Lonchura striata: one gene and its partners. Each later gene encodes a partner of the first gene's protein in a complex. Links are inferred from orthologs where the notes say so. Each region holds a gene or a part of one and is shown on either strand. Other genes may lie near its edges. The genes, in order: QRSL1, GATC and GATB.

Evidence for each region.
Region 2: QRSL1 (region 1) and GATC share a complex: the UniProt entries of both Homo sapiens proteins name them as parts of the heterotrimeric GatCAB amidotransferase (AdT) complex. The link is inferred for Lonchura striata from reciprocal best matches to the Homo sapiens genes QRSL1 and GATC.
Region 3: QRSL1 (region 1) and GATB share a complex: the UniProt entries of both Homo sapiens proteins name them as parts of the heterotrimeric GatCAB amidotransferase (AdT) complex. The link is inferred for Lonchura striata from reciprocal best matches to the Homo sapiens genes QRSL1 and GATB.

Annotation. Positions count from the first base shown.
Region 1 is NC_134605.1:70,564,739-70,572,840, reverse strand, and holds the start of QRSL1 (glutamyl-tRNA(Gln) amidotransferase subunit A, mitochondrial), read left to right. Parts: upstream 1-5,001; 5' UTR 5,002-5,108; coding exon 5,109-5,132; intron 5,133-5,364; coding exon 5,365-5,524; intron 5,525-6,640; coding exon 6,641-6,739; intron 6,740-7,755; coding exon 7,756-7,852; intron 7,853-8,102. Other genes in the region: RTN4IP1 (NAD(P)H oxidoreductase RTN4IP1, mitochondrial), read right to left, coding at 2,083-2,207, 2,440-2,508, 3,319-3,470, 4,590-4,836. UniProt on the Homo sapiens protein: Allows the formation of correctly charged Gln-tRNA(Gln) through the transamidation of misacylated Glu-tRNA(Gln) in the mitochondria. The reaction takes place in the presence of glutamine and ATP through an activated gamma-phospho-Glu-tRNA(Gln).
Region 2 is NC_134620.1:4,812,793-4,819,528, forward strand, and holds GATC (glutamyl-tRNA(Gln) amidotransferase subunit C, mitochondrial), read right to left. Parts: upstream 2,707-6,736; coding exon 2,518-2,706; intron 2,376-2,517; coding exon 2,209-2,375; intron 1,451-2,208; coding exon 1,347-1,450; intron 968-1,346; coding exon 909-967; 3' UTR 514-908; downstream 1-513. Other genes in the region: TRIAP1 (TP53-regulated inhibitor of apoptosis 1), read left to right, coding at 2,775-2,921, 3,543-3,626; COX6A1 (cytochrome c oxidase subunit 6A1, mitochondrial), read right to left, coding at 6,057-6,137. UniProt on the Homo sapiens protein: Allows the formation of correctly charged Gln-tRNA(Gln) through the transamidation of misacylated Glu-tRNA(Gln) in the mitochondria. The reaction takes place in the presence of glutamine and ATP through an activated gamma-phospho-Glu-tRNA(Gln).
Region 3 is NC_134606.1:43,467,346-43,474,494, forward strand, and holds the start of GATB (glutamyl-tRNA(Gln) amidotransferase subunit B, mitochondrial), read left to right. Parts: upstream 1-4,138; coding exon 4,139-4,287; intron 4,288-6,092; coding exon 6,093-6,243; intron 6,244-7,149. UniProt on the Homo sapiens protein: Allows the formation of correctly charged Gln-tRNA(Gln) through the transamidation of misacylated Glu-tRNA(Gln) in the mitochondria. The reaction takes place in the presence of glutamine and ATP through an activated gamma-phospho-Glu-tRNA(Gln).

The DNA of each region.
Region 1 (8,102 bases):
GTGGAGGGTTCACAAACAATGAGAGCACACTTCAGGAAACTTGTAAAAACATAACCTGTGAAAGTATGTGTAGGTGGAACAGATAATCTCTCAGATCAATGCACCGCCAGAACTGGACTAACAGCAAGTGTTTCTGGTTAGCCCACACTAATGCCTTGAAAGAGGCAAAGAAAAATCTCACTGCTTTTAAGATGTCTTAACATTGCACTAAAGCACCAGTGAAGTAGCTTTCATCAAGGAATACATCTGCTTTGCCAAAATAAGACATTTTTGTGTGCATATACACCCTTCTACATAGCTATTTACCTACAACTACAGGAGACAAAAAGACTGACATAAAATCACACATGTAGGTAACTTCTCACCAAGTACATGATCTAAAGAAATTAGGAAACATGGCATAAATTGTCATATTTTTAAATTATTACCCTGAGAGTTCATGGAATATTATTTTGCACAACCTTTTCAACGCATTTTAAACATTTTCTTACAAGTAATATTTCAGGGGAAAAAAGGTACTATCACATAAGTCATTCACTGCTGGTTTTACAGTTCAAAATTTATAGACAGGAAATATAATATTTTACAGTACATTAAAATGGGTTTCTTGCTGACAACATAATTAAAAAATTATTTGGAATATGAAAGTAAATATTAAATCTAAAGACACATTACAAATCCAGTTTCAATTTTACTGTTAACAATCTAAACACTTACCTGAAGATTGGAAAGACAAATACATCTAGCCTATCAGTGAATCTTTAGGTTAATTCTATTTACATGTGAAAATTAAGATAATAAAAAGTCTAAACACTGAAAAATAAAAAGGTGATCTTATCTAGAATTTTATTACTAGCTGGAAGTTAATTACAATTAAGTATCTTTGAAACACCTTTAAATTTTGAATTTTCATCTCAAAACATTGTTTATCTATGGAAAAAACTATTACTCAATATTTTCATGATGAAGTTCACTATGACACATGAATGACCACTCACTTGATTGTCTTCAGAGACATGGGTGAAAAATTTAAATCGATCCAGAGTCCTTTGCAACGTGTTGCATTACAAAGTATCAGCCAAGATAAGAGGTCAGGCATCCAGACTCCTGTTGCCCAGTAATTACTTTATGACCTAAACCTGTGATGCAGCATAGTAATTTTAACTACTGTTTTTCAACCCCTGTTTTACTTCTGTCATTATTTCCATTCTGAAGATTTTGCTATCTATTTACCCAACATCCAAAGGTCAAAATAACTGAAAATTTCAATTATCAGGAGAAAAATGGTATTTGCTCCAATCTTTCACTGCATTTTTCCTCATCTGCCATTGTCAGATCAACAGACTGATAAACAAAGTCAATTTTTCTATTTGACTGGCTGCTCGTCTTGTACATTCTCCTTTTCTTTTCTTCATTCCTGACCTCATCAAAGTTCTGACCTGCAGGTCAAATAAGAGTCAGTCACCTGCTCATTTTTCTCTAAAAAGCTGGAAGACCAGTCTGCCCCAAATGGCCCATGCATGCAGGAAGTGAGTGAACCACATCTCTGTCCTTGAGAGGGATTTTTGTGAGCTGCCAGTATAACTCAGAGAATATTACATTTGGCTAGCTGTCTTAACAGGAAGACAGGCAAAGTCCCTACAAATTCCTGGAGATAACATCCTCAAATTCTCTACATAGATATACATGGGATTATGATAGAAACATAGAAGAGCCTGGGTTGGATGGAACCTCTAAGATCATCTAGTTCTAAATGCCCTGCTGTGGACAGGGACACCCTCCAATGGGGCAGGCTGCCCAGAGCTCCACCCAACATGGCCTTAAGTATTTCCACTTGTGGATGTGTGGGTATCCACAACTTCTCTGGGCATTTTTTTATCTCTATATAGGGACCTCATCTGAGCCTTCCTCTAAAGAAGCCTCTCTCAGCAGCTGTGTAGCGAGAATGCATCATCCTCAGACAACTGATCCTTAGGAATGTCACGGTATAACAGTCTTTATTGCTGCTGGACTTGTCTTAGAAGCAGCTCATCAATATAAAAATTAAGAACTTTAGTTTTAGCACCAGAACTGTTTACTTACCTTTTCCCACTACAATTATTTCGGTTCAGTCCTCCCACTTGGTTAAGTGCAGACCACGCAGTGAGACCAACATATGGTAAGGCAGCAGCTTCTGTGTGACTGAGAGACTTTGGCTTAAAAGATACCTGAAATAAAATCATTACTAAGTCACACAGCAGCTCCTATGTGACACTGAAATACTTAAAAAAGCTTTACTGAATTTCAGATTGTGTATTGCACATTTTCAGCCATCTTTAACACTAGCTAGAGTATAAATCAATCCAAGCACTAAGAAATAAAGTTACTTAGATACTGAAGAAGAAAAATGCCAGTCTTTACAACTTTGAGGTTTTGTTAGCCAGAGTTTTGGAAGTTTACCTCGTTTCCACTAGCTACCACGAACTCTGACAGAGTGCCTTGTTTCCATGGGGGAATTGCTGCCCACACCTAAAACCAAACAGGAAACAACTATCAATTTTTGTACTTTTGCACACAACTGTATGTACACAGAAGTTTCCTTTGTTAAGGAAATCTTTTTTCTAATTCACAGAATGTCCTCACTGTTTATCAGAAACCAGTTTTGGCTTATTTTGCACACAAAAAAACCCCCACAAAACAGACTAAATGTAGGACTGGAGGGCTATGTAAATAAATTGTACCATTGCATTGTGTATAAGACATAATTTTCAACTGCCCCCATACTACTCCCATGCCAGGAAAGCCCAGATTAGAGGGGTGAGGGTGGTGCAGAATCAGGATTTGCTTAGCTAAAACTGGTGAAATGTGAAAGCAACTGGTGAAGGTGAAAGCAAACAGTATCAGTATTTCTGTGGGCACCCATTAAGTACTTCTTGGGTTGAGCCGAAGTTCCTACTCCAAGTTACTCAAGAAAAATAAAAACAAATCCCTTCTCATTAGAATTCTACTTTCAATTGAAAACAAATTGGCACTTTGAGTGTGCACTTATAAACAAACAAATTCCACTCTTGCTACTGCTGCAATGGTCCAAAAACTAAAACACAGAAAGGAAATTAACTTGCAGAAACAAGTCTCTGAAAGACCATGTTTTCCAGAGAAAAAAACAAAGGGAAGAAAGTATTCCAGGAATTTACTGCCAGATAGGCCTTACTAAGAGTGTAACAGCATTAAAAAAAAATTAAGATGCGAATGAATGCTGAAGTTCTCATAGTATATTTTAACTATACATTTTGGGGGGGAAGAAAAAAAAAAAAAAAAAAAAGAGATTGGTGGTTTTACCTCATCTCCAGGTTTGAAATAGGACACACCCAGTCCACATTCCATAACAACACCAGAGACATCTCGACCAAGCGTTAGAGGAAATTCAGTCTCGCCTGTTTTGAGTTTCAGGGGATCCCGCTTCATATTTAACGCAGTTGCACCATAACCACCTGCAAAACATGGAATCAACCACAACACACCACAATTGAATGCTCATTTATTAATTGTGCAATTCCAATTAAAAAGCATTGTCATCCATAAGGTGCCTCATTTCTGTTACAACTGAAGCATGCAAAAAATCTGCAATATTTCACACTTTTACAGATTTTAGAAATAAAGAGCAAGTGTAAAAAATAATAAGGCATATCTCCTAAGATGAGTAACCTGGACTTCTATTCAGTAAGCACAGACAAATTCTGTGAAGTCTCAGAGTTACCCATCTAATAACAGTGCTCAGCCTAAAAATAGCCTGCATTTGGGCATGTATACCCACTCAAGTGCTGGGACAAGTCCACCTAAGGGCCCTATCATGCCAGAAGGTGTCTTAACAGGAATCCTCAGATAGGAAATGTCCCATCACCAAACCCCTAATTATATGGAAAAATTTTTTAAAATTCATTTATTAGAGACCCAAAACACAGATTAGAGCTCTGTCTGCAGGCTTCCTGCTATTGGCTAATTCTACTGCATCTGATTTGATATGAAAGCACTTCTACACAGGAAATATAAGGTATTCTATTACCACAATTTCCTTCTTGTGTTTCAAACCCAGAAGCTGGGGAAGAAAATCTGATTGACTGTGTCAAATACGAAGAGCCGGCCAGTGAGAGAGACAGATTTCCTGGGCGGGATAACAGCACGTCCCCAGATGCCAATTCAGGATAGGCATGGCAATGAACACCAGGGTTTGCCTTAGGTCGCACATGCCGACTTGGCAGCAACTTGGACCTCCAGCCCCATTCACCGCAAGGAGATGGGAAAATCCAGCATCACTTAGGGAGAATGCTGCTCCTTGGCCGGGCGTCTCTCAGTCGAGAGCAGCACCACAATCACTCAATTAAGAGTGCACCCTCGCAACACACACACGCACACTTTTGCCAGTGGCTTTTTGTATCGTTCTTCCCCGAGAACCTGAAAAAAGGTCGAGTTTCCAAGAGGCGGCGGTTTCCCACAGGGCTCGGGAAACACGTGTGCTGAGGCAGCCCGGGACAGTGCGGGCAGGACGGTGCCCCAGCGCAGCCCCTGCCATCCCGGCAGCCCGCCCGCGGCTGCTCGGGCTCGGCACTTACTTCTCATGCTGAGGTCGATGGGGTTCAGGCTCGCAGCGTGAACCTTAATGATGACCTCGTTCGGGAAGTGTATGATGGGGAACATCATCTCCCTGGTGAAGCGCAGCACCTCGTTGCTGCCGTACCGGTCTATGACCCAGCTGGGCATGGCGACCCGCGCCCGCGGAGAGGCGCGGAGCCCGCGGGCCGGTGCCCGCCCGTTCGCCCAGCGCAGCGCCCGCCCGCCCGCCGCTCCCCACGACAGCATAGCCAGGGCAGCCGGGCCGGGCCGGGCCGGGCTGGGCCGGGCTCGGGATGGGGATCGGGATAAGGACCAGATCGGGATCGGGCCGGGTCGCCACGGCGCGCCTCAGCGCTCAGCCCGGCGGCCCCCGCAGCCAATGGGCGGCCGCCTTCTTGGCCGCCCTGCCAATGGCGCCGCGGGGTGTTGCGGCAAGATGGCGGCGCGCGGCTGCCGCGGCGGGGGAAGGTGAGGGTCGTTCGGCGGGCGTGAGAAGGTGGCGGCGGGCAGGGGCAGCCATGCTGCGCACCTCTCTCCGACAGGTGAGTGCGGTTTGTCCACCTGCTGAGGATGCCAAAGAGCGGGGTAGGGGTGTCGAGGAGGGGGGCGGGTTCGCAAGGTGACCCGGGTCCCCTGGCGTCCCCCTTCCCCGGGGCGGCCCGGGAGAGCGCTTCCCGTGGCACCTTCCCTCAGCGGGGATGGCGCGTTCTTCCCGTTCCGCCCCGGCGCGGCCTCTGTCCCCCGGCTGCCCCGAACGACGGGCTGCGCTCTCAGGTGTCGGCGGCGTTGAAGGAAGGACGAGTCACTCCCACGGAGCTGTGCCAGCGATGCCTGGCCCTCATCAGAACCACCAAGTTTCTGAATGCGTACATTACCGTAACGGAAGAGACCGCTTTGAAGCAGGCTGAAGAATCAGAGAAGAGATATAAAAGAGGTATGTTGGTTTGTAAGTAATGTCAGTCCTTAAAAAGCTGCTGTGGAGGAGCTCTTTTTGTTAGACGAAGCACCTTTGCTTTTTAAAGGGGATGTCTTGGCTTGTCTGACTGTTGGGGGATGAGGCTCACGCTTGAGGTTTCCGTGGGTGCTCGTGGACGTACACTTGGCACTCAGGAGAGTATTTAGGCCAAAAAACAGTCTGGACTGAACAAGGCACTGCAGGTTAAATAGCCTCTGTGCCTCTTGGACAGCACTGCTGCTTGGTGTCTGCTGCTTCTTTGCCTCAGCAGTTCATTTAGAATATGTAGCCAACAGGTGCTATGAATAGGCAAATGCAGTGGTCATTCACAGGCCTCCAGGCTGGGATAGGCAAACAGCTGGCAGAACCTATTGAATTTTTAATTAAGAAAACAAATTAAAATAAAGTAGCTTTATTAATTGCAGTTAGTAATAGGAGAACAGAACAGTTTTCAGTCCCGTTATCTCCAGCATTTAGGAGATGGCCATCCTCATTTTGCCTTTGTGTTTCAAGAAAGGCAGGAAAGTTAAATTTTCACCCAATAGAGTACACAGTTTCCTTCCTGGGTGACACTTGCTGTCCTCTGGCAGCTCAATAAAATTGTCAGCCAGGTTGTTTTGCTTCCTGATGTAGGCCATTTCATTTTTGGGTTGGGTTTTTTTTTTGATGGTGGATAATCAGTTACTTGGGAAGGATTTTCTCTGCTTCAGTAGTTAATCTACTGTGTACGTCAGTTAGGCAGTGTTTATGGCTGCCATCCTAGTGATGGAGTGGATTTAGTAGCACCTATGGCTGAAATAAGTGTTGTGTGGTCCCATTGGAATGCACTCCTTTGGGATAGCCAGCCTGGATGGAAGCAGGTGGAGGGCTTAGACATGAGGTCTGGTTTGGGCACAGTGCTCAATGCTTGAGCTGGAATGGAAGACGGTTCTTGAGAATGGAACAGACAACCATCAAGTGCCAAGTGGAAAGCAATCTTGCGTCCAAAAACCACCCAAAGCGATATGTAAAATAAACAGTAATTGATGAGAACTTTATATTTATAGAGCACATTTTGCTTTAATCTCTGTTGTTTTATAATCATTCTTAATGCAGGTCAGCCACTGGGCATTCTAGATGGAATTCCTATTGCTGTAAAAGACAACTTTAATACAGCTGGCATTGAGACAACATGTGCATCAAATATGTTAAAAGGTACAGTAAAGCTTTTAAAGTAAAATCAGATCTTTTGCTCTTTAGAGGGTTTATGGACTGGAGGCTTGCAGAAATCCAAGTATTTTTGAAAAATGAGCTGGTATCATTTGAGGAAATATGTTTATCCAATTTCACTAGCCAAGTTCATCTGGTATTACAGATAGATCTTTTTCTTCTTCTAAGCATGTTATTTCTTTATAATTGTATGCATTTAAAAACATTAAAAAAACAAATAAAATAATAATAAATAATAAAACTACAATAAAATGGTTCCAAAACTTGCATTTTCCTTCACATTGCTTTTAGGTCTAGAGGAGAGCAGTCAGTACTGTTCTGCCTAGTGAAATCCAGAGACAGTCCAGTTTTGTTGTTGTTCTGTTTATAATTGGTGACTTAAATAGTTTTTTGATATGGCTGTAGGAAAAGTAGATATTAACAGTCCAACATACAATCACTCTATAATGCTTTTAAGGAATTTTTTTTTAATTTCCTAAACTCATTGTTTTTATTAACAGTTCATGAACATTTTCAAGTCATTACAATGTTTTTATAGTAAAAACAAAAGTAGGAAACATTTCTTACACCTGTTTTATTCTGTGCAAAGTAAGACTATATTAATCCTTGAGGAAGATAGCAGAAGTAAATTAGCAGACCTCTAATTTGATTATGGTTTTTTTAATAGCAGAAGAAACAAAATATGACTTCACTGTTGTAAAAGTTGTTATAGATGCTTTTCCTTAAAGCACATCCTCAGACCTGTTGTGATTGATTGCAATGAGTATTAGGAGTGATGTCCTTGTTTCTGATGAAAGTGGGAGTGAAGAAGCCCTCGTCGTCATTCACAAAGTGAATTAGTTACTACTTGAGATCTCATGTCACTGTCATAGTTCTCATCCTAGGTTATGTAAGGTCTGAGTGGTAATGATAATATCAAAATGTTCAGAGAAGCTACTAAGCTACTTGTAAAAATAATTTGCATCTCACCAGTTGCTCTTAATTATTTTGATTGTTTTCAGGTTATATTTCTCCTTACAATGCTACAGTAGTTCAGAAGTTACTGGATCAAGGAGCTGTGCTTTTAGGTAAAACAAACCTAGATGAATTTGCAATGGGGTAAGTGATGTTTATTATTTTTAATGTGCTGATTTTACATAAAATAACATACATACCATCTGTTCCAATCTACCTGTAATCCTTAACTCCTGTTTCTGTGAGGCAAGACAATAATGAATACTTACTGGAAGGACACAAAGAGCTGCATGAACTTCTCCTTGAGTGTTTATAGTGTTGCATAAATGATACAGACGCTGAGTTTTGTGAACATAGTGTTCAAATGTGCTTGAGAGGCAGGAAGTGGTCCAAC
Region 2 (6,736 bases), on another chromosome or scaffold:
GCTGCAGGGAACAAGCATCAGGCAGTCTGTTCTCACTGGAGTGTGTGGGAGCAGCACTGAACTGGCAGTTTTAAGTTTAGCCTGTGCTGCATTGGGAATGTGGGATCATCTTGTCCAAATTGTTGGTTTAGTTGCTGCCTTTAAATAGTTACTTGATGCTATTTTGGGTTAAAAGCTCCTGCAGCCATTCAGTTCCCTCTCAAATTCCTCTTCCTTTTTTTGTGTAAATAATATTGTCCCTATTCTCTCTGATGGTCAAAGGGAGAAGCCAAAATGGATAGATCAAGGGGGGACTTATCAAACTGGGAATTACCTGATATTATGATTGTGGTATTAATCATATTGTTTGATAGATATTTGAAATCTTTCCTTGTCATGATTTTTATAAACCTCATAAATTACTTAAAGGCTGAGTTTGTATATTTGTTAAACTTCAGCATTTGCAGGGTCTGAATCTTGACAAGTCTGAGGCTAAAGCATAAATACAGTGTTACAGCTTTGCAGAGAATTGGATTAGTGGTGTTAAATACAGGCTTTATTTCAATACCCTTGAAAGAATTCAAGTATCATAGTAATTACATGTTTTATGCATCTATGAGTATATTATGGATGCTTAAACAAAAAATTAGATAATTTCACAATGAAGAGTGGGACAAGGGTTTGCTCTCACCTCCAGACAGCAAATTCCCTTTGCAAATAAAAGCACCAAGATCATCTGCCATGCTGCCATCCAGCTTCAGAGACATTGAATATTTCAGCAGCACTACTAAACTTTTACACTTTCTTTCTTCTGTCTTGCAAGTGCTCTTCTTTTGACCAAAATACATGCGAGGGTGTTTCAGCTGTGACTGCACAAAACTTCACTTTCCCCAAATAAAATACTCAAAGGGTATTTAGGCTCTGGGCTGTCACTTAGAGCCCTGCAGAAAAGTCTCTCGGTCTTCCAGCTTTGGTAAAGGGATGTTACCTGAGAGAAAACAGAAAACAAGTTGTGTGAGACCAGCTGTAAGTTACCTTGTGGGCAGAACACCTTGGCATGGAAGTGTTTCTCCAGTTTACTCCATGAACAGGCTGCCTGAATACCCTGAGAAAGTCAGGAAATTAAGTCCTGCCTGACTTCCTATAAGGAATTTCTCAACATGTGCAGTAACTTCAGAGTCAGGCCAGCCTCTGTGCTGCTTCTGAACTAATAAACTGCACATTGTTTTACACAGATGGCTACATTCCTTTATTTTAGTGCTCCCCATTATTGACTAGTATTTCTGAAAGTAAATGCAGCTATGGCAGGTTATTTTCTTCAGGTTAATTCAGGTGAGATTAAGAGGTTTTTGTAAGCAAGTCAATACCTGGTGGAGCTACAAAATACTCCTCTACTTTCTCTCTGGCATTTTCCAGCAGTTCTTTGGTGCAGTTGCCTTCTGTCACATCATCTTCTCTGAGATACAAACACCTGAAGGACAAAGATTACTGATTGTTTTTAGGCTGTTCTGTGAATATGAGGTAGGAAGGGTGGCTTATCTCTGAATCTGGTTTTGGTCTCTTAAACACTGAGACAAATACTGGAACATTTTGAAGCACCCAAGAATGGCACTGGCAGGCATTTGGGGAATTATTGTAAATGCAGGTGAACTTAATGGGAAGAAATTATGACTGACTCAATTCAGAAGGCTGAATGATTTCTTTATTATAACTATGTTAAATACATTAATATACTATATAAAAAGGAAGATACTAAAACTATATACTACTTTCTCTAACACAATTCATGACCTTCTTTTGAGGGTCTAGACACAGGTGGGTTGGATTGGCCGTCAGGCTCAAACAATCCCCACCAGAATCGAATCAAGCACTCACTCTAGGTAAACAATTCTCCAAACACATTCCACATAGGAAAAACAAGCAGTAGAAATATAAATTGTTTTCTTTTTCATTTATCTCTGTACACCTCTAGAAAATCCTGAAAAAAAGAAAAATGTACTTACCACAGGGAACAGTGTGACAAGACAGATTAAAGGACTTAAGTTCACCTTTGCTTTACTCACACATAAAAATTACACGTGCCAATGACACCTTTCTCCCACACAGAACCACAAGAAGATGTTTTTGAGCAAAGGGGCCACATGCATGGTGATTCCCAGGGAAAAAAGGTCCCAGAAGCAAACAGTTTGATGCATTAACAGATAAAAAGAGGCTCGTATGATATAGCACCTGTCCTCCAGCACTGAATCCATCGGTTCCACGCCGTCGGTATTTACTTCATGGAGCTGATCAGCGAACTGGATCGCTTTGTGCAGCCGCTCCACGCCCTCCGAGTCCCGGAAATCCACCAGGGCCAGCTGCTCCAAGTGGTCCAGCACTTCCACCGACACGTTCTGCTGTACAAAAGCATCAACACGGACAAAAAAAAGGTCAAAAATTAACAAGTTTAATAGCGCTACTTCCTTTTAATTAGAAACTTGTTACACGTCAAAAGCGGAGTTCACAGAGAACCCTAAAATCGTTAATGCTGGAAAAGACCTTTAAGGTCAGCAGATCCCGGCCACCGGCAGGGACCCGCTGCTGGCTGTCGCGGCCGGCGCTGGGCGCCGTCGGCGCTGCGCGGAGCGCTCGGTGCGGCGCTGCGCGGAGCGCTCGGTGCGGCGCCGCGCGGCGCGGCCGCGGGCCGGCCCCGGCGCGGAGCCACCGCCCGAGCGGCAGCGCGCGCATCGCGGCCCCGGCGCGGCGTCACCGGTGCACCGGATGCGCGTCACGGCGCGGCCGGCGCGGCCGCCGCGATGAACAGCGTGGGCGAGGCGTGCACCGAGCTCAAGCGCGAGTACGACCAGTGCTTCAACCGCTGGTTCGCCGAGAAGTTCCTCAAGGGCGACAGCGCCGGCGATCCCTGCGGGCAGCTCTTCAAGCGCTACCAGCTCTGCGTGCAGGTGCGTCCGGCCCGGGCCCCGCTCCCCGCGCCCCGGCCGTCCTTCCCCCGCCGCCCCAGCGCGGCCTCGGGCCGCACCACTGAGCCCCACGCAGCTCCGGGCTCCTCTCGCCCTGCGCCTGGCCGTCGTTACATGGAATACTTCACAGACGTCTCCTGCACGTTTCTGTCAGGCTGACTAGTTCAGTGAGTTCTCCGTACGTCCTTCAGCAACTCTAACATTGAAGCGTTGTTCAAACCAGCCTTTAAGACTACTTTTTCTAGGTCGCTTGTGATCTGGATTATTTTGGATGATTTCTATTCAGGCAACAAGCGTCAGGACAAGAGCTTACAGAATTAAGCTGCAGCAGGGAGGTTTAGGTTGGACATCAGGAGGAATTCTCTCACAGAAGGGGTGATCCGACGTTGGAGGTGGTGCAGGCAGTGTTTAAGGAGAGCCTGGCCATTGGCGTGCTCTGGTTGACGTGGTGCTATTGCTCATGGGTCATAGGTTAGACTCGATGATCTCAGAGGTGTTTTACAGCTTAATTGATTCTGTGGTTCTGTGTTTTGTACCAAAGATAACATCATGTAGCCCTGTAAAGTGCTGAATTTAATTATTTGGTTTTTCTTCTTTTTTCAGAAAGCCATCAAGGAAAAGGACATACCCATTGAGGGCCTGGAGTTCATGGGCCCAAGTAAAGGAAAAAGTGAAAACTCCTCTTGATGTTGGCTGTATGGGTGGAGTCACTAATAGGAGCCTTTGGACTAAGCACCATCACCAGGTGTACCACAGATGCCACCTGGAGAAGACCTTTGTTAACTGCTTTCTAGGAAGTGACAAATGTTCTCTGCTTGTGAAAACAAACTGCTGAAAGAAAAAAAAAAAAAAAGACTGGATCATGTGGTAACTGCTGCCTCTTTGCCAGTGAAACTTGGTGGTGGTTCAGCATCTAACTGCTTAAAACTCCATGTGAATAACTTCCTACTGAATGTACTCTGTAATGGGGGAATGCTGCTTGGAGTGGGCTGCGGTGGGTTCTTTGTGGCTGATTTCTCTTGGTTATTTATATAACACTTGAAAGTGTTTCAAAAGAATACGAAGGGGGTTGATGTACTTTCTACCATCTCTATGCTGCTGAATTTTGGTGATGAAATTAGTTTCGTGTAATCGTGAATGCTGAAGGGTTTGAGCACTGTTTTGTGTCAGCTACAGAGATGGGTTAAGAGCACTAGTGGACCTGCAACAGCTTGGCTAAAATAAATGCAACCAGGTTATATTTTGTTCAAGTAGGTAACTGTGCAGTAGAGTCTGATTGTGCCCCCTAGGAGGGGTGGAAGTGGCCTGCTCAGCTGCTGAAGAGAAGACTCCTAATGCAGAGGTTACTTCAAGCTTTCCTGAGGTACCGACACATCCATGAACTTGAATTCTCTCTCCTTCAGCATTACATGATCCTCACACAGGGATGAAGCAAAGCTTGCCCCTCTCCTTACACCAACACAGGTAAAAAAGATATTATGGCCTGAGGACAAAAGATAACTTCATAATTCTAGAAATACAGTGAGGAAAAAAGCTTCACTCTCTGATTTTAATTACTACTAATAATTTAAAGGTTTAAAAAAAAAAAAAAAACAGCTAAAAAAGTACAGTTCTCAAACATTGTAGCTGGCCTGTCTGCACCACAGCCCCTCACAGATGCCCAGACAATGTGTCCTTGGGCCTTGTGCAGAGGATCAGGAAGTGCTGCAGCCTGAGGCTGTTGTTCTGTGCCAGTCACAGAGCCAGGTGAGCCACCCTCCTGTTCTCAGGTGCAAGGAGCTCCCACTGTGTCAGCACAGGGCTTAAATATAGCACTGAAAAAACAGGCTTTTGGCAAAGTGCAGCAGGTCTAAGGGAAGGATCTAGAAATAGCATATTGGAGACAGTTGACTCTGTAGCTTTTCTTTTTTAAGGAGTAACTCGCAAAAACAGTTTGCTTTTTTATGATCTTCATGTAGGGCTAAATGTAATGTGACTTTGTCAGCTTTAAAACAACTGTGGTGCCCATCAGTGCCTTGTACTTTCAAATAGGAAAACTTTGTCTCAACAATCTTTTACTGGTAAACAGACAAAAAAAATCACATGGAAACATGGGGAAGGGCATCCTGCACTACCACTTTGAGATTCTCTCTTGCCATCTGTCACTCCTTTCAACAGCAAGATGCCAAAGCAGCTGCTGCATTCTACCTTTTGGGAAGAACCACGTTCGTGACAGCTGAGATAGAGCTCACTTTCACATTGTGCAAAAAATATAGAAGTTATAGTAAGAACTGGAAAATGGTTGACTTGTAGTGAGCAAAAAACTTGAAAATTAAAGTTGTACTGGCACAGGCTCATGCTGTTGGCTCACTATTTTCTTTGCTTCAGGCAGCTTCTGCATGACACAGTACACATTACACAGACACAAGCAGTAGAACCAAAATTGTGTTTTCTTCTGCAAAACCTGTGTGACAGACACAGACTGCAGCTTTATGGAGAGCAGAGTGGTGAGAAAGATATGTGCTGATGTACCTGAAAATTTGAGAGCTGAAGGGGAACAATGTGAAGGCAGAGCTTAGCTCAACATCTTTGCTGCCACCCCCTCTGCCAGGAGTGACCAAGAGAAAATCACCTTCATGACTGTTAATAAATATTGCAAAAGCTGATAATGGAGAATGTGCTTCAGTATATATTGGGTTTTAATCTATGTATATGTTGTTCTGGCCGTGAGTTTAGAGTCATCAGTTAAACCAGACACGAAGAATATGAAATTGATTCATGTCCTGTGCCAAATGCATTCGTGTTGTTTGTTACAGACATAGGAACATGTGTTTCCATTCAGGCAGTCAAGCCCCTTTGCTCATGCACTCTGTCCTGTGGGTAACCTTAATGCTTTATGCCAACACAACTAAAAATCTCCTAAGGATTCAGGTAAACAAGTCAAATCCCAAATTCATGTTCAGAGTTGTTTATTTAAAGGGCCCCATCACAAATGCACACGGGGGCCAGTACACCACTCAGCTTCATCTCAGAAGAAACAGTTTCTGTAACTATGACCCCAGAAATGATGGTTCCCATTCAGCATTCTGGTTCAATATGGGGAGAGCCAAAGTTCCGGCTGTTGTCAGGATCTTGGTTTTAATCTTCATAACCGGTTGGGAGAGCGTTAACGTGGGGGTTGTGAAACAGAGTTTTATTCCCATCACCCCAGGGGAAACGCTGTTAAAAGAAGAAAGAAAATAAGCCAGTGGTAGCTCTGAACAACCCCTACAAGCACCTGAAACCAAGAACAGTACAGACTCAAACATCAATTCTCCCAGGCAATTAGTGACAGGCTATGAGGAAATGGCCTCAAGCTGTGCCACAGAAGGTTCAAGCTGGACATCAGGAGGGATTTCTTCATGAAAAGGGTTGCTAAACATTGGGACAAATTGCCCAGGCTACTGGGGTCACCATCCCTGGAGGTGTTTGGGTATAGACTGGATGTAGCACTTAGTGCCATCATCTGGGCCACAGGGTGGAGATGAGTCAAAGGTAGGGCTCCATCTCAGAAGACTTTTCTAACCTAAATGATTTTATGATCACACAGCTAGACAGGCTGATAAATTAAGCAAGCTGGCTCCCAGGATGTAGGAAGCAAGAGTTGGAAAACTCTCTCCCTTAGCTGGGAGCCAGAGTCTCTGAACAGCACAATCTTTGCTCTTAAACATCCACTGTGTTGTATTACGAGGACCCCAATTTTGAGTACTTGGGATCTCCACTGCTACCTTTTAGATCTGTGTTACTTTAAGTACAGCAGCTCTAGGACTGAAAAATTT
Region 3 (7,149 bases), on another chromosome or scaffold:
CAATACCAAGACAGCAGTGATATGCCAGGAAATCCTCTTATGCCTATAATAATGGAACTTCACACTAGAAAAACAAGGATTTAATTTTTTAAACAATAAGATTAGGGTAGTACTCACCCTCAGACAAGGTTAGTGGCACTGGACTTCACCAAACACTGCCTCTGCTGTATGGGTTTACACAGACCTCAGCAGAAACAAGCCCAGTAACTTCACTTCCAGCTCAGGGTTCCAAGACAAAGGGCTGTACTGTGCCCCTAAGTGAAAGCTTTTGGGATTGCCAGCACCTGATTCAAGTCACAGATGTAGCCAATGCCCAGTGCAGCACTCCCAGGCAAGGCACACCAGGAGAAACCAGTAGAGAAAGGTGGTAATACACAGGTATTACCATGGCTGAACCAAGGTTCTCTTCAGCAACACAGCCCCTGAGGAACATTGAACTCACCTTCTACATGTAACTTACAGGTTTTTGTTACTGTTTATAGAAATTGTTTGTGCATCCATATTTCCTGTCTGAGTCTGCCCTTATTTTTCAACTCATGAGTTATAACAATTTTGGTAAATAAAATAAAATGGCACTATGTCCCAATTAGGAAATTGATGGCACTTTGATACAAGAACCCTCAAGTCATGAGGCTGTTCATATTACCCAATCTACCACTGCATGCATGCTTGCACACATGGACAGCAGATCATACAAGGCAGCTCCATTAGGTCCCTAAAGACTCTTTCCTGTGGTCAATATCCTTTCTCAGTCCTCAAGATCGACAGACATTTTTGTATTTGCCATATCCCATTACTGGTAGATAGGTGAGTTGAATCCATATTCCAGACTGAAACAGATCATTGTCACTATTAGTTCAAAGTTGCAGGAAAAAAAGAAAATTTCTCTCTTTATACCCGCAGAGGAAAAAAAAAAAGGCTTTCAAGATATAGAGGTGATCTTAAGGGCCTAAAAGTTTTAAAACATCCCTTACCATAGTTTGCTTCCAGACTTAGCAATCTGCTTTGTTACTCTTCCCTGCAGGCCAATGTCTGAATTTTTGATAGACTATGGATCTACTGTTCCAAAAGTCACAACCTCTTGCTTCAAAATCTAGCAGAGATTCCTGTCTGTTCCTTATTTCACATGCTGAAATAAGACACTGCAGGCAGCCTGTGAAGTATCTAACAAACACCCCAGTCTGAATATCCCATTCCCTGCTATACCAAAAGAAGACCTCACAGTCCCCAAAAGGAGTAAGTATGTGTGACAAGTATGACTTGCATAAAAACAGATTTTAGAGTTGAGAACCCTAGAAACTAAAATTCAGAGGGATATTCTTTCAACTAAATGGGATAGACTGCTTGTTTATGGCTTAAATTATATACTGTTGGGTTTTTGCTCTTTGTAAAATTCCAGTTTTCTCTCAGACATTGGTTAAATTCCTACAGTAACAAGAGACTCAGAGCAAACTGTCCCCTGGGTCTATCCTCTCTAAGATATGAGTCTACATAGTACTGAGCTATCCTAGCACAAATCTTTATGCAGTGCTATTTTCCTATTCTAAGCCACAGCATGATCTATAAACACACTGCAGTAAGAACAAATATGTAGCCTTTCCCACCTCAAAGTAAGCTGCTGGGAAAGACAATTATTCCCTGTGACTGACTAGCTTCTGCATATGAATGTGTGGGTTTTCATTTATTACCTCCTTGGTTACTAGCAAAAGGCTGCGAAGGTTCTTCGGATGGGATTTTTTTTCTGGGAAGGGAATTAAAATAACACTGAGATAATTTAAATCACAAACAATGGAACTTCCCAGTCTTCCTCTCTCTGTAAGACAACACCTAATACAGCTAAAAGTTCCAGAGGAATTGTTTGGGATGGATTTCAACCCTTTTGTGCTGTCTACTCGCTTCTAATATGTACAAAGGGCAGAAATCCATGCAATCAAGGCAGAGTAAGGCTTTAAGTAACATGGCTTTAATATTCATTAGGTTTTAACTTCTTAGTGACTATTTATAAAATCTTCTATTACAGCAGGAGAACAGACTTAAAAGAAAGTCAAATAATCTGAAATATACAATTTTTACCCCAGTAGAAACACTTCAGAGCTATATTTAGAACCTCTCCTGACAGCTGGGTTGAAGTGACCTGCCAATCCCTACATAGTATCAGAAAATAACTACATCCAGAGTTCATGGAGGACAATTGTAAAGAGAAAAAATTTGTTGCAGAAATAAAAACCATGTATTAAAGCTGCAGTCTGAAAAGCATTTTTCATCACAAGATATTGCATAGGCCCCTGCTAAGTCCAAATGAAAATGGTCTTTACCTCTAATCAGAATTATCAAAATTTCTTAAATGTTTAATTGGCTCAAAGACTACAGCATAGGGAAATATATTCATTTACCTCATATGTGAAGAAGTTTTCTACAGGAGAGAAGATGAAAGGCCACTCCAATGTTCTTCCCATCTCCACAACATGTACAAGATGACCTGTGGTGAGTTTTTCTCTATTGGAAAGGAATTTTTTTTTGGTCACTCTTTGTTGTACAAGAGGAGGATATTTCCCAAGAAAAGGAATGTGACAAACTAATTTTAAAAAGATAATATTGTACAAATAGCCATACATCAGTGTCTGCTGAAAGGATCTCTCAATTGGCTCTTCTTACACAGCACTTCCAGATAATTTATTAAAAATATAAACATATCAGAAAATCAGTGCTACGAAACATTGTGTATAAGCCATTTTCTTTCATTATTTAATTAGGTGAATTATTTTCTGCATGACTCAGAACCATTCAGCATCTCATACTGGATCTTGGGAAGACAAGAGGTCCTAAAGGTTCCAAGACACTCTCAAGTGCCTGTGTATACCGCTGTCCTCTGCTGGAAGCCACCAGCCTCAGCGACACGAGTGTGCCTGCCCAGCCTCTGCCGGCAGCCGCTGACAGAGCACAGGTGACATAAGCAGCAAGGGCTCATCTTCATTCCCGTTTAAGCTTCACATGGCTTGGGACGGACTGTCATTAATTCTGTTATCTCTGCAATGTAGCTATGTAAACATTAAAGAGATGTCAGATGCCCTGGACAAGACTCTTGTGAAAAATGCATATTTTACGATTGGCTTTTTGCAAATATTAAAATGAATATTATATGTGTAATGTTAGAAAGTTATGCTGTATTAATTCGCTTAAGTAGTGTGTTAAATATAGTTTTAGGTCACATCATAATGTTAAAATAGAAACTCTGCAATGTAAGATTTTTTTTACTAGCTCAAGAAAAGGGATGAGATAATCAAGAAACTCTTCTCACAGAGATAACAGTGACAGGGCACATAAAGTTACAGCCTCCCTATCGGAAAAGACAAACATTCTTCCACTTTCTCTCCGTCTTTATGGAACCACCAGGATTAAGAGGAAGAAGTTGACAAAAACCAGAAAAGTTCTTAATTTGCAAGGAATTTATGCATCATGTATGAGATAGATGAATGTGCTATTGATATTGCTGTTGAGGGGTATTCCTTTGTTCACAAGGCACGTTTTTGGCAGCATAGTGTCCAAAAACATCCGGATGTCCGTAATTCTTTGCTTTTATTGTCTTGTAATTGTCCTAACTCTAAATTTTTATTACTTTATAACCATTTTATTCTTATTAAACTTCTAAAAATTCTAAAAAGAAGTGACTGGCGTTTATCATACTCTTTATTACCAGAGCACATCCCAGCCGAGGCTGAACTTTGCTGCCCTACGGAGAAGCCAAGCTCCCAGACCTCGAGCACGTGGCACTGCAGCATTCGATGCCCTCGGCTTGCAAACGGCTGCCGATCAAAAAGGCGGCTGGTCTTGTAAAAGCGGGAGCCCCGAAGAAAACCACACACAGCGCACCGAGAGGGCGTGAGCCGGCCAACGCGTTCTAGGGAGCAGCCGAGCAGCGCTCCCACGGCTCGCTCCGGCATTCCCGGGATAAGCAAAGGACCACCGGACCCAGCTCGGCCGGCGGGGCGGGGCCGGCGCCACGGCCAGCGGCCTGACGGGAGTTGTAGTCCGCCGGCACGGCCGCACTCCGCGCCGCCATGCCGGACGGACTGCATTTCCCAGGGGGCGCTGCGGGCGGCCGGGAGCCGCTGGCGGAGCGATGGCCGCTGCGGTGGCCATGGCGGCGCGGGGGTGCGGCGGGGTCTGGCGCCGGGCGCGGCAGCGCGGCGCGGGGCAGCCGGGGCCCGGGCCCGGCCCTTTCCCCCGCGGGCAGAGGGCTGTCGCCTGTAACGCGAGAGGCGGGGCGGTGCCGGCGGGGAAGAGCGGGTACGGTGCCGGGACGGCGCGGGGAGAGCGGCCGGTGGAGCTGTTCCGCCCTGGCTCTGCCCGGCTGTGGGTCTCCGGGCGCGGGAGCGGCGGTGGCAGCGGCGGGGCCCGGTGTAAATTGGCCGTGTGAGCGGTGTGAGCGTCGGCAGCACGTTTACCCCAGCGCAGTGGGAACGGCCGCGGCGGCGGGGCCGTGGCCGGCCGGGCGGCGCGGGGAGCCCGCGGCTCGGAGCGGGAGCCGCGGGGCGCCCGAGGGGGACCCAGCCCTCAGGAGCGCGCCTCCGAGGCTTCTTCCAGCCCCACACACGCTTCTCTTCTAGCGCGGTGTGTGAGGTTTGGGTGCTGTGCCTGAAGCAGAGCATGCAGCTGAAAGTCACGGCCTGACCAAGTTCTCGTGTCCCACGAGTGTCTGCGCAGCTGATCACTTCAACAGCGGCAGAGTGTGCTGCTAATTCTTTAGAGACACAGATAAACATAATCCTTGAACAAACAAGGCAAGGAGCTCCAGGTGCCTCATCAGTGTTGTCAGTGGATTGAAGGACTGACTGGTGCACGTACCTTTTTCTCTGAGTGTAAGCCAACACACTGATTAAGCAAAACCTGGTGTAATTTTTAATGCCTTGATATGACAGAAGCGGATTTCCGAAGAATACAGGAAACTGGAATAAATTTGCCTCGGAAATGTAAAAGAAAGCCCACATTATTTCTCTAACCTTGAAGCATTTGTATGTTCGGTTAAAAATACTGAAGAATAATACTATTTAAATGAAAGAAAATGCGTTAGCTCCTTTAAACATCTGAACCTTAATCTTTCATGGTAATATTCTTCTTCCTAAAGCATCAACTGCATCACTAGTTTGGTGTGTTTGTAGGGATGTCCTCAGCTGTTGGAGGGCAGATGGAGAACTAAAATCTTGGCAGTGTAGAATGTTCACCTTTGGAAGGAACACTGTACTTCTTATATTTGTTTGATGTTTTTTCATGGCTTGCTTATCTCCTGCTATCTGGGTACTCATACTGCTGAAGTGTTCTGCCACAGAAATGCGATTTCATCAGTGAAATATTATTTGTGCCACTTCATTTTTACAAGGCCAGATAATTACTTACAGAAACTGTCAAGCAATTCATACTGTAAAGGTGACCTTTTTCTCTTGTCCATATAAAGGTTATGGATGTGAGAATTGCAATTACTTTTTAGATGATATGGAGAAGCTTTATTCTGCAGAATGCATTCAGAGAACAGTAGCTCTCTAGTTGAAATGATGATTTCTCTATTACCAGATTACTAATGTTTATGCTAATATTCTACTAACACTGCTCTGGAGAGCCACCTTTCCCAGCATGCAAGTGTCTATCTGACAGAGAATACATAATTTATTATGCCACCTGTCTGTTGTAGATTTATCAAGCTACCTGAGAAGTAATTCATATTTATGATGATTTGGGGATTTTCATGAGGCACCAAATTAGGGTTCATCCAGCATGCAAGTGTGCCTCATTAATTTCTCTGAGATTTCTCACATAAGGAAAAGTTAAAAGTTTTAAACCATTGCAATTTTTTATTACATTCTTTTTTGCATGTAATTAGCACTGCCATGTAGTCCCATAGCCTCTGTTATCCAGTATCACAGCACAGGTTTTCCTATTACAGTGTAGATGTATTTGCAACATTGTTTACAATTTTTTTACAATTACAATGTTTTAAAATAAATTAAGCGTTCCTAATACTTCTGTTTCTAGGTTTCCATGGGTTTTAACATCATCTATATTTAAATTGTTTTCCCCTTCTCCTCTTTCCTTTTCAGTCTCGTTCCGTGGGTACCAGTTGTGGGTCTGGAAATTCATGCACAGATCAGTTCCAACTCAAAACTCTTCTCTGGTTCACAAGTCCAGTTTGCAGCACCTCCCAACTCTTTGGTATCTTTCTTTGATGCCTCTTTACCAGGAACTTTACCAGTAAGTTAAGCTGCAGTTTCAATTAATGTCAGACAACTTTGTGTATGCTTCTAATATTTTATTTTTCCCAGGATTTGACTAAAGTCATATATATGACTACTTTTCCTTACTTGTCTAAATTCTGTTTCATAACATGAGATGCCTTTATATCCCCTGCAAAGGAGAAAAATCAGGAGTGTCTCTTCAACATAGTGAATGGGTTGTGGTATTTCTTTGAGGCCAGAGTGGGTGTGTTTGCTTAGTATGCCACACAGGAAATTCCTTAAATATGAGAGATGCCTAAAGCCCAGTGAGAGAAGAACATCTTAAGATTTCTGAGTGGCCATTTGATGTTATTTTGCCATATGCTTGTTTATGTAGCTGTCATTTGCCATTTGGAATGTCTCACTGAGGAGTTACTTTGATTCCTGAGAAGAATGTCTCCAATTTAGGAAAGTGTCAACCATTCCTATTTCCAGAGCAAACCAATTATTTAAAAAAAAAGTAATCTGTGTGACACATTGGAGATTAATAGGTCAGAATAACTAGCTAGCACTTAGCAATAAGGTTTATTAGTGAAAACTTAATAAGTGTTTGAATTCACAGCTTAATTATAACTGTGATGGCTATGACAGTACTACTGTGGAATTCTCTGAGTATCTAACAAGTTTAATTTAAAAATAAAAGTTAAAAAATTAGAACATAAGCTCTTACAATACAGTGAAAATAAATATTTAATAGACTTAGCATTGCCACATGCAACAACTCTGCAGAGACTAAGATGGGGTCTAATTATTTAAAGCAGAAATGTTTCACTGACTGTATTCATTAAAGTGCAGATTTGAATTCCAGTTACAGAAATGTATTTTTAAATCTAGTTGTAGCTTTGCATTACCATAAAACAGCCTCAGATAATCTAAAATTGGG